2 linked regions of the Arabidopsis thaliana genome follow. The protein of the gene in region 1 interacts with the protein of each later gene in a biochemical or structural test. Each region holds a gene or a part of one and is shown on either strand. Other genes may lie near its edges.

Evidence for each region. Proteins that work in one complex are often made in the same cells at the same time.
Region 2: the proteins of CBF1 (region 1) and ADA2B form a complex in vitro, tested with the Arabidopsis thaliana proteins (one study listed by BioGRID).

What each region holds. Positions count from the first base shown.
Region 1 is NC_003075.7:13,021,132-13,024,683, forward strand, and holds CBF1 (C-repeat/DRE binding factor 1), read right to left. Parts: upstream 1,866-3,552; 5' UTR 1,432-1,865; coding exon 790-1,431; 3' UTR 649-789; downstream 1-648. UniProt on the Arabidopsis thaliana protein: Transcriptional activator that binds specifically to the DNA sequence 5'-[AG]CCGAC-3'. Binding to the C-repeat/DRE element mediates cold-inducible transcription. CBF/DREB1 factors play a key role in freezing tolerance and cold acclimation.
Region 2 is NC_003075.7:9,262,067-9,268,239, forward strand, and holds ADA2B (ADA2 2B), read right to left. Parts: upstream 4,092-6,173; 5' UTR 3,710-4,091; coding exon 3,660-3,709; intron 3,217-3,659; coding exon 3,161-3,216; intron 3,074-3,160; coding exon 2,901-3,073; intron 2,778-2,900; coding exon 2,712-2,777; intron 2,622-2,711; coding exon 2,496-2,621; intron 2,399-2,495; coding exon 2,323-2,398; intron 2,234-2,322; coding exon 2,185-2,233; intron 2,107-2,184; coding exon 2,087-2,106; intron 1,836-2,086; coding exon 1,616-1,835; intron 1,534-1,615; coding exon 1,323-1,533; intron 1,243-1,322; coding exon 1,018-1,242; intron 931-1,017; coding exon 739-930; 3' UTR 555-738; downstream 1-554. Other genes in the region: AT4G16400 (uncharacterized protein), read left to right, coding at 1-36; AT4G16410 (uncharacterized protein), read right to left, coding at 1-510; AT4G16430 (basic helix-loop-helix (bHLH) DNA-binding superfamily protein), read left to right, coding at 5,533-6,173. UniProt on the Arabidopsis thaliana protein: Required for the function of some acidic activation domains, which activate transcription from a distant site. The exact mechanism of action is not yet known.

The DNA.
Region 1 (3,552 bases):
TCACACTCAAGTCTCTCACGTTATTTGAGATATTTAGGAGAAGCAAGACGACAACGAGAAGAAAAAAGAGTGGGTATGGTCAAGAAAAAGACAAATTATGATTTTAGTGGAAAATAGAAAGTAAAGAGTGAAGTGACGCGACACGTGGTACGAGACTCCACAGCGAGCCACGTAAGGGGGGACAAAGAAGAGAAGGTATGGACAATGGTTTCCGCGGTCGAGCCACGCTTTCAGAATTCTGATTGGCACTGGGTTATCTTGTGGAACCCATCTGAAAGATATTTTTGGTTGTCGTACGGATTTGTTTATTTCGGGTTTGTTGAATTAGTTTGTTTCGGTTTTATACACTATTTTAGGAAACTTTTTTTTATATTCTTTATAGTGAACTGGGCTGAATTTTTTTGGTTGCTAGATTCGAGACGAGCCAATTTATGTAATATTTTGTGGCTTTCTGTTGCTAAATTGTAAGATCTGTAACTTACATGAGATAGAATAAAATAATGTAATGCAGGTTTTGTGGCATATTTACAAACATCATCCACGTGTAATGATCTGTCCACATATTTTGCCTTGAAAGCAACTACAATATGACTTTTAATATCTTTTTTGTTAAATATTTGACTTTTAACTTATGTGAAGCAAAGAAGTAGAAAACGATTTGTTTTGTATTGAATTATTTTCCACTCGTTTCTACAACAATAAAATAAAATAAAATGAAGGAACCATTCTAAAAAAAGGAACTAGAATATTTTCAAACTATAGTACAAAAATGGAAACGACTATCGAATATTAGTAACTCCAAAGCGACACGTCACCATCTCCTTCGCCGTCATAATTATGATTCCATTGAACAGACGGCGGCGGTAAAAGCATGCCTTCAGCCATATTATCCAACAAAGTCGGCATCCCAAACATTGTCTCCTCATCCATATAAAACGCACCTTCGCTCTGTTCCGGTGTATAAATAGCTTCCACCATCGTCTCCTCCATGTCCAGGCCATGATTCGTGGTCGTCGTATCACACGTCTCATCTTGAAAAGCCAACGCCGCTTCAGCAGCCGCTTTTTGGATATCCTTGGCGCATGTTGACTCCGGGATTCGTAGCCGCCAAGCCGAGTCAGCGAAGTTGAGACATGCTGATCGGCCACGGAGGGCTAATGCAGCGACGTCGTGAGCACGAGCTGCCATCTCAGCGGTTTGGAAAGTCCCGAGCCAAATCCTGGTTTTCTTGTTTGGCTCTCTCACTTCAGAAACCCACTTACCGGAGTTTCTTTGACGAACTCCTCTGTAAATTGGGTGACGAGTCTCACGAAACTTCTTACGGCCCGCCGGTTTCTTCGGACAACTCGTGGCCAACGTCGGACAATAATCTCCGCCTTGAGGCTCGTAATCGGAGCCAAACATTTCAGAAAAAGCTGAAAATGAGTTCATTGATCAGAGTACTCTGTTTCAAGAAACTGGATAAGGTTTAAGTAGTACGTAGTTACTAGAGTTCTCAGTCTTTTTGGATTAATAAAAGATAGTATATCTGTCTTGGTAAAGCTATTTATATCTCTCTCTCTTTTTTTTCTTTTCAGGTAGATTCTTTTTCAAGTGTGTAGTTAGTATAAAAAGTGAGAGTGAGAATTGGTGTTTATATTGGCCGGAGGAGAGATAACGGATATGTGGGGAGCACACGGAGTTTTTGTCTCTGTGAATGACACGTGTATAGTACATAGCGAAGCAATCCCACGATGTTCCACTCGCTGTCTGACGTGTGTCCTTTGACCCTTGTAAAGAGACTTTTGACTCTTCACTCGTTAACCTTTATGAGTTCTTTAAATTCTATCGAGTGTGTGCCTGTGTGGTTGGCTGGCTGCTGTTGTTACAATCGTTTTTAAATTCCTATGAATAAACAAATTGTCATTAATTGTCACCCGTCTATAACATAATAGACATAAATATCTCTGTGAAATGATATTTTAAATACTCATGTAGTATTTGTATTGGAAGTAGATGTCCTAATATTTAACCAAAAATAATACTACAATATAGAAAAGCTTGATTTTTTAAAAAAATTAATCAGATTTGGTAATGGATAATTATCAATTTCGATGGACGGTTAAAAATGAGTCATAAATGCATATGATGAACAAAATTATTCAGTTTAAACAAACTATAACCAAAAACATGTAAATGGACCAGGACAGGACTAAGCGAAGGATTAGACCAATACAAAATAGCAAGTTATCTTGAATCCCAATAATTCCCACAAAATATCTCAATCTCAATAATAGCTATATTGTATTGACAAAAAAAAGGTATAAAAAATCTTCACAATAAGATATGCATGAAATATATTCGCTGACAAAAATATCTCTCTCGTTACCTCTCGCTCTCACGTTATTGACATTTAGGAGAAAAGAAGACACAACAAAGAGGGAAAAAAAGAGTGGTAAGGTGAAGAAAACAACAAAATTGGCTTTAGTGGAAAATAGAAAGTAAAGCTTGAGAGTGACGTATGGGGCCAGTGAAGGCTGGTGGGGAAGGTAGGGACAGTGTTTCCGCGGCCGAACCACGGGTTTAGAGGATTTTGACGTCCCCACGCATTATCTTGTGGAACCCATCTTTCTGTTTTTGGAAAATCGTACGGACGTTCGTTTTTGAATTATTTGCTGAATCGGGTTGTTTGGGTTTCTACTCTGTTTTGGGATTCTTCAGTGGATTGGACTGGATCTTTTGTAGCTTTTTGTTGGTAGATTTGAGACGCCTCTATTTTATGAATATCTTAATAGCTTTTTGTTGCATATTCAAGCGAGATAAGAAGATAATTGAGGCTTTATGGCATATTTGAAAAGTCGAAACTCGTTCTCATTCCACGTGTGATGATATGTTCGTGGCCACATATCATTCGGCCTTGAAAGCAACTACTAAACTCTTAACATAAGTGAAGCAATCCAATGAAGAGGAAAACAATTTATTTAATTAATTGTAATATATAAATATACACATTTCTTTATAACAACAATTATTAAACTTACTAACAAACTCATATGTTTCATCGAATCCAAAACTTGACATGTGGGATCTTGAGAGTGTTAAGTTGCAAGACTTTTTAAAAACTTGTATGCATTATTCATTGTGTAGATGTTATGTGATACATGTTCTAGTTCTATTAATCAGTATATTCTAATCAAAATTAAAAAATCTAATATTTGTTTGTCTTCATAATCTGTTATTGTTTTGTTTTTTTAGAAAGCAGCTTCAATTTTGTTTACTTGTTGGGCTTCTTATAATTTGTTTAACATATAGGCCCAATACTCCTAAAAAGTAGACGTTCTCGACTTCTCGTCCTTCAGACAAAATAAGAAAGTCAAAATGTGTTCTGAAAAAAATATCTTTGAAACTAAAAAGAAAAGAAAATAAAATAAAAATCCAAATGATCTCTCTTGCCTTCTTTATCTAAATCGTACCTAACTCTGTTTTCAGTTTCACCTATCTCTCGACGCGAGCTTCTTCTTCTTCTAGGGCTTCCACGCGACTACGCCTGCCAAAATCATTCTACAGGTAAAT
Region 2 (6,173 bases), 3.8 Mb from region 1:
AACAACTTGAGAGACGATATAGAAGCTACCACCTAAGATGAGTAGAATGAGAATGGCGGAGATTGGGTTCTTGAGGAGCTCAAAGATGGGCTCAAAGACAGCAGAGAGAGCTCCAGTGCTAACCGTGAGAGCGTAAAGACCGTACCTTCTAACGTTGTCCCAAAACTCTTCCATTAAAGGACCTTCTGGTCCAAGCGCCATAGCTTTCTCTGCATCCATTCCCAATACCAAAACCATCATCAACCCTACAGAGACTCCACCAACCACAGCATATCTCCAGTGCCGTTCCAAACCCAGAGGAGGAGGTTGTGCTCTTTCAAGCTTGCTGTTTCTGCTACTTTTCGTAGTCAATCTTCTTCTGGCTGAGCCACACCGAACAAGACATGATGTTCTGTTCCTTATGCTTGAGCTTGGAAAAGCTAGAGCTGCTGCTATTGATCTGCTACTGGTAAAATGGAGGTGTGGTTGCAGACAAGATAGTCTCATTTTGGGGAGAGACATCATCGTCATCTCACTTCTTCCTTTCCTTGTAGGAGTCAGATTCTTTCTTATATACTAAAACATTTGGTTTAGATTGTGTGGCTCTGATTCACCTTATCTCTTTTCACAATCTGTGGATAACTTAATCGTTTTTCTATTACAAACTAATTTTGACAAGGTGTAATAAACAAGGGAATGTCAACAAATAACTCATTAGAGCTCACACATATATATATATGATACAACACTACACAAGCCTTAAAGTTGAGCAATACCCTTCTTCACAAGCATATCATAAACTCGATCCACTTTGGTTGGATCAATCTTGAAAAGGCTATATGCATCCGACTTCTTCGTTACATTCCCTTTGAATATCTCATGTGACATCACTTGTTGCATCTGTAGATAAACCGGTGGAACCAACTTGACCTCGCTGCAGAGACGCTTCTCCTGCAAAACAAAGAGCTTTCTTCTTTCAGTTACAACGACAGAAAACTCATCTCACACTGTTCAGTATCTCAGTTCTCAGACACTTACGGATTCAGACAGCAGTTGCGACTCCGTGAACCCAATCAAGTCCAAATCATTCACATAGCTTGAAGAAGCTTGCACAGGTGGTCTAGAGCCCATCTCCCCTGCAATTTGACCAAATTGACCGCTCTCTTTCCCTCTGTTCATCCCTTCTTCGTTTTCTCTCTTCCTCTTCCTTCCCAGATACCTCTCTGCTTCAGCCGTTGAACGACACCCTGCCACTTGAGCTTCCTGCTCCACCAATCCAACACAGTGAGCCACATCCAATCCAAGAAACCAAACGCACAGTTTGAGGGTAGCAATGTCCTTACCTTGAGATCTTTGAGCCGTTTCACCATGCGGTACTCGCTTACAACATTACGGAGTAGCTCGTCGTGCTCCTCTTTTGAATGAAAACGCATAAAAACGTCCAAACGTCGGCATTGTACTTTCTCCTCCTGAGACAGGTCCTTCTCAAAGGGATTTGGGTACAACAGGTTTCTTTCTATTATGAATTCTTTTCTACGTTTCCTCTCATCAAGCCTACAAACATCATACTCACCTGCGTCAGAATGGACAGCAAAAAGAAGAGACTTTGTTCCCCTTTTGATCTTAAATGTTGTACCTTTTTGAATAGATACGCAACACACGCAGCTTCAGTTCATGTTCTTCAGGAGTATCGTTCTCTTTGAACTCCATCTCCGCCAAGAGTTGCTCAGCATCATTGTCATATTCAGGGTCAAACTCTTCTCTTTTCTGGTTGTAATTACTCAGCTCAACCAAAGAGTTGTTTACCGAGGTGGAAACAGGTTTCTTCCCTCCAAAACTTCTGTCTACAAAAGACTCTAACCACAAAGAATGTCAAAACATAGAAAAAGGGAGAAAATATCTACCAGTATAAATACAATGACAAATATTGGGCCTTTTTGGATTTTAAAATTATGCTCAGTCAGCTTCTTACTTTACAAGTAGATGATTCCATTTACGCGATGGTTAACTAGATTATAACTACTGGTGTAAGCTAGAGCAAGTAAATAACAAAACGATAAGCACACCTATATACGAACCAGATATAGCATACAAAGCAAGAACTCACCTTTTTGTGTGTCTTCAACTCTGCAAGAAAATTGAACAAAAGATGAGAAAATTATAGGGTTATCACTGTACAGTACATGAGAAGAACGAGAAACATACTTGACTTTAGGAGGAGAGAACGGGTACTCTTCTTTCATGTTCTGCTCTGCTGCCAAAGAAGAAACCACTTCAAAATCAGAATTAAAATAGCAACACGTACAACGCAGAATCAAAACCATCAAGCAAAGAAGCGCATACCTTTCTTGTCATCAATGCGTCCTTTAGCCATGGCTTGAAGTTCTTTTCTGTTCTTCCCTGCTACATGTGACATATCCTGGGAAAATAAACGTTTCTCCTGAATTAGTTAATACCTTGCAAAAGGCTGGCACTACTGAGGTAGATAGGTATCTTATCAGATCGATGTAGCATACCGGAAGTGGGAAAAATGGTGAGTTCAAATAGATGTTTCTGTAGTGCTCAAGACACTGTTCTTTACTCTTCGTTCCCACGTGCTCCGCAACCTCTGCCCAGTTTCCCAAGCCATAAATTTCAAGTCCCTGAATAAAGACATTAAAAGAAATTACTTTTCACTGAAAGAATCAGACATTATAGACTTCATATCAGTACGATAAAAGAAGTAGTGGTACCTCCAGGAGAAGCATTTCATCATCCGCACTCCAGTCAGGACAAATAAGCGGGAAAGTTAGATTTCCCTAACAAAGCAAATGAAACATATATTAAGCTTTGGTAGAATTCAACCAAAAGATATTTTCGCTAAGTATAATGAATCAAACTCTTTCCAAACTAAAAGGTAAGAAAAGTAAATGAAAACTAACCATAACTCGGTATGGGTGATCACATTTGTGAGGAGTGATCTCTGCTCCAACAGACATACATTCTATACAGAGATCAAAATCTGGACAGACAGCACACTTTATCCTAATTTTTCCAGTAATGTCTTTCTGGCAATAATCGCAGTTATACTTCCCTCCTCCCTCAGCACCTGGTACTGTCTCCACAAATAAAAAATGTTGAGTAAAAGAAGAATCTTGACAGGAGAAACAAAAAAAAAAAACCTTGATAAGTATTTTTTTACCCAAAGAAGTAGACTCAAAGTTCTCCACATTAGCCGCATTTTTCTTTTTCCTCGTTCTGCAACAAACGCATAACACGATTCTTTCATGTCAGCTTCAACAGTGAAAAAACAATTACACAGATGAAAACAGAGAAGAGACTACATAGCTACTGAAAGTTTTCAAAAGCAACAAACTTTAAGCGATGCTCATTGTCCCAACTGAAAAATCAATGATTGTTGCACAAAGCAGATGCAAAGAAACTTCAAAATCAATCAATTTCAGCAGAAATTGGCACAATTACATAGATGAAGATAGAGGAGACTATAGCTACTGAAAGTTATCAAAAGCCACAAATTTGAAGCCATGCTCATTGTCCCAACTAGAGATCAATGACAATTGCACAACACAGACTCAAAGAAACTTGAAATTCAAATCAATTTCAGCACAAATTGGCAATTACAAAAGAGAAATCCACAAAAACCCCAAATCGGAAATTAGAGTAGTGAATTAGGAACAAACCTCTGAGTAGGGTCTTCGAAATTTTGGAAGTTCCCTCGAGAGCGACCCATTGATGCCCAAGTAGAAAATTGGATTATTGGGTTATGCGAAACCACAGAGAAGAAGAACCCTAGCGTAATGCCAACATGGGAGACTCACCGGAGAAGATGGAATGGGTACTTGGGGGGGTTTCGTGGAAGAAAGATCTAATCGGAATTCAACAAAACTCGGTCGAAATTTGTGAGGTTTTGGATCTCTACTAATATTATTCAGAAGTTCCGACCGAGAAGATTAAAATTAGGGAAGTCGAGGTAAAGGAAATTTCTAAGGCACTGTACTTTTTAGATTTTTTGGGATTAGACGGTCATGCTTATTACTAAAGCATATGACTTAAACTAAATTGACTCTTATAACTTCAACTTAAAAAACTATTATTTTTTATGTTAATTGTTGAATGGTGGTTGAGGGAAAAAAAAATGAAGAAAAAAAAGCTAAGATAGACCATTTTTATTGGTAATTTTTTATTATTAAAATAATAAAAATAATAAAAGGAAAAGAAAGAGAGTGTAGAATGTTTCTCGTTAAACTATGAAATACTTTATACAAACCATCATAATATTTTTCTCTTTTCAATTGGTTCGCTAAAATAAAAATTTAATCATATATAAAATTATAATAAAATACTAATATTCTTTTTGTTTGAAAAACTGTTTGGGTTTCTTCTTGATGGAGATGTCTTTAATATTTGGTTGGGTTATGGTTATTCGTTTTTAGGTATTTTGTTCATGGACATTTTCAGTAAATGAATTAGCAAGTAAATAAACTTGTATAGGAATAAATGGTTAGTGTTGTCACACACTATCGGAACAACATTATGATGTATTTTAAAATCTTATTGATGCTAATTTGAAAAATTGATTTGGAAGAAGGTTAAGCAAGGAAACAACCATATAAGATAGTTTGATGCTAATTTAAAGTTTCTTATTTTGGTCGAAAATCGAATTATTAGAAATGTTTGAACCTTTTTTATTAGACATCTAGTGATAAATTTTATAAGACTCATGTCAATCGAATAAAAATATCGAATTGTTGTTTTGCTGAACGAATAAGTTTGTCTATATTAGACGCGATTAGTTCTTCTAAACCACATTATCCAAAAAAATCGTGATTGACTACATGGTGTAATGATACCTATCATACCATCTCAAGAATATGGCATGACTCATCCAATTAACAATTGTATTTGCGCATAATTGTAAGATGTGTAAATTCCTTTTCCGCTTATTAACGGTGATTTGCGATAAGTTAATTCAGAAGACGAGTTTCGATTCTCCCATCATAATAGGTTGTACTACGAAATAATTTCCCAACATGTACACATAATCTCGACAAAAATCCAGTGATATGGGTTTACTTGTAGTTGAATAGATATTACACCACAATGACTTGTGGTTTGGTATGTAAGAAAAGGCAAAAGTATAGTTTGCAGTTAAAAAACTGAAGGAAATGATGTCCTTGGTATTAAATTACGATTAAACCCATATTCTCTCTCTCGCATAGTCTCTTCCTCTTTTCTTCTTTCTTCGTCAATTTCAGAACAAGTCACTACAGATCTGAAGTGAACCAAGCTCAGGTTTTGTCTTCTCTTTGATCATTCCTTTCTCAGCAATATAAATTAGAGTTATATCCTTTATAAAGGATTTTGCTTTTTCACCAACAAACCCTAAATTCGGTGTCTCAGCAAGAATCACGTGATTCTCGTTCCTCTTCCTCACGAAACCCATCATCTTCTATCTCATTTGTAAGCAGCGATCTCAATCCAAATACCTTTAATTTTATTTGATTCCATACCCTAATTTTTGTATATTCCATGTCAATGAACGTTTCAGGAGAAATGGGTCAAAAGTTTTGGGAGAATCAAGAAGATCGAGCGATGGTTGAATCCACCATAGGCTCTGAAGCTTGCGACTTTTTCATCTCAACAGCTTCAGCTTCCAACACTGCCTTGTCCAAGCTTGTCTCACCACCAAGTGATTCCAATCTCCAACAAGGGTTACGTCACGTTGTTGAAGGATCTGATTGGGATTATGCTCTTTTCTGGCTAGCGTCCAACGTTAATAGCTCTGATGGTTGTGTCTTGATCTGGGGAGATGGTCATTGCCGTGTCAAAAAGGGTGCTTCAGGTGAGGATTACTCTCAGCAAGATGAGATCAAAAGACGTGTGCTTCGCAAGCTTCACTTGTCGTTCGTTGGTTCAGATGAAGATCATCGTTTGGTGAAATCAGGAGCTCTTACTGATCTCGACATGTTTTATCTGGCTTCTTTGTACTTTTCCTTTAGGTGTGATACCAATAAGTACGGTCCTGCTGGAACCTATGTGTCTGGGAAGCCTCTTTGGGCTGCAGATTTGCCTAGCTGCTTGAGTTATTATAGGGTTAGGTCTTTCTTAGCTAGGTCAGCTGGTTTTCAGACTGTGTTGTCTGTACCAGTGAATTCTGGAGTTGTGGAGCTTGGTTCTTTAAGACATATTCCAGA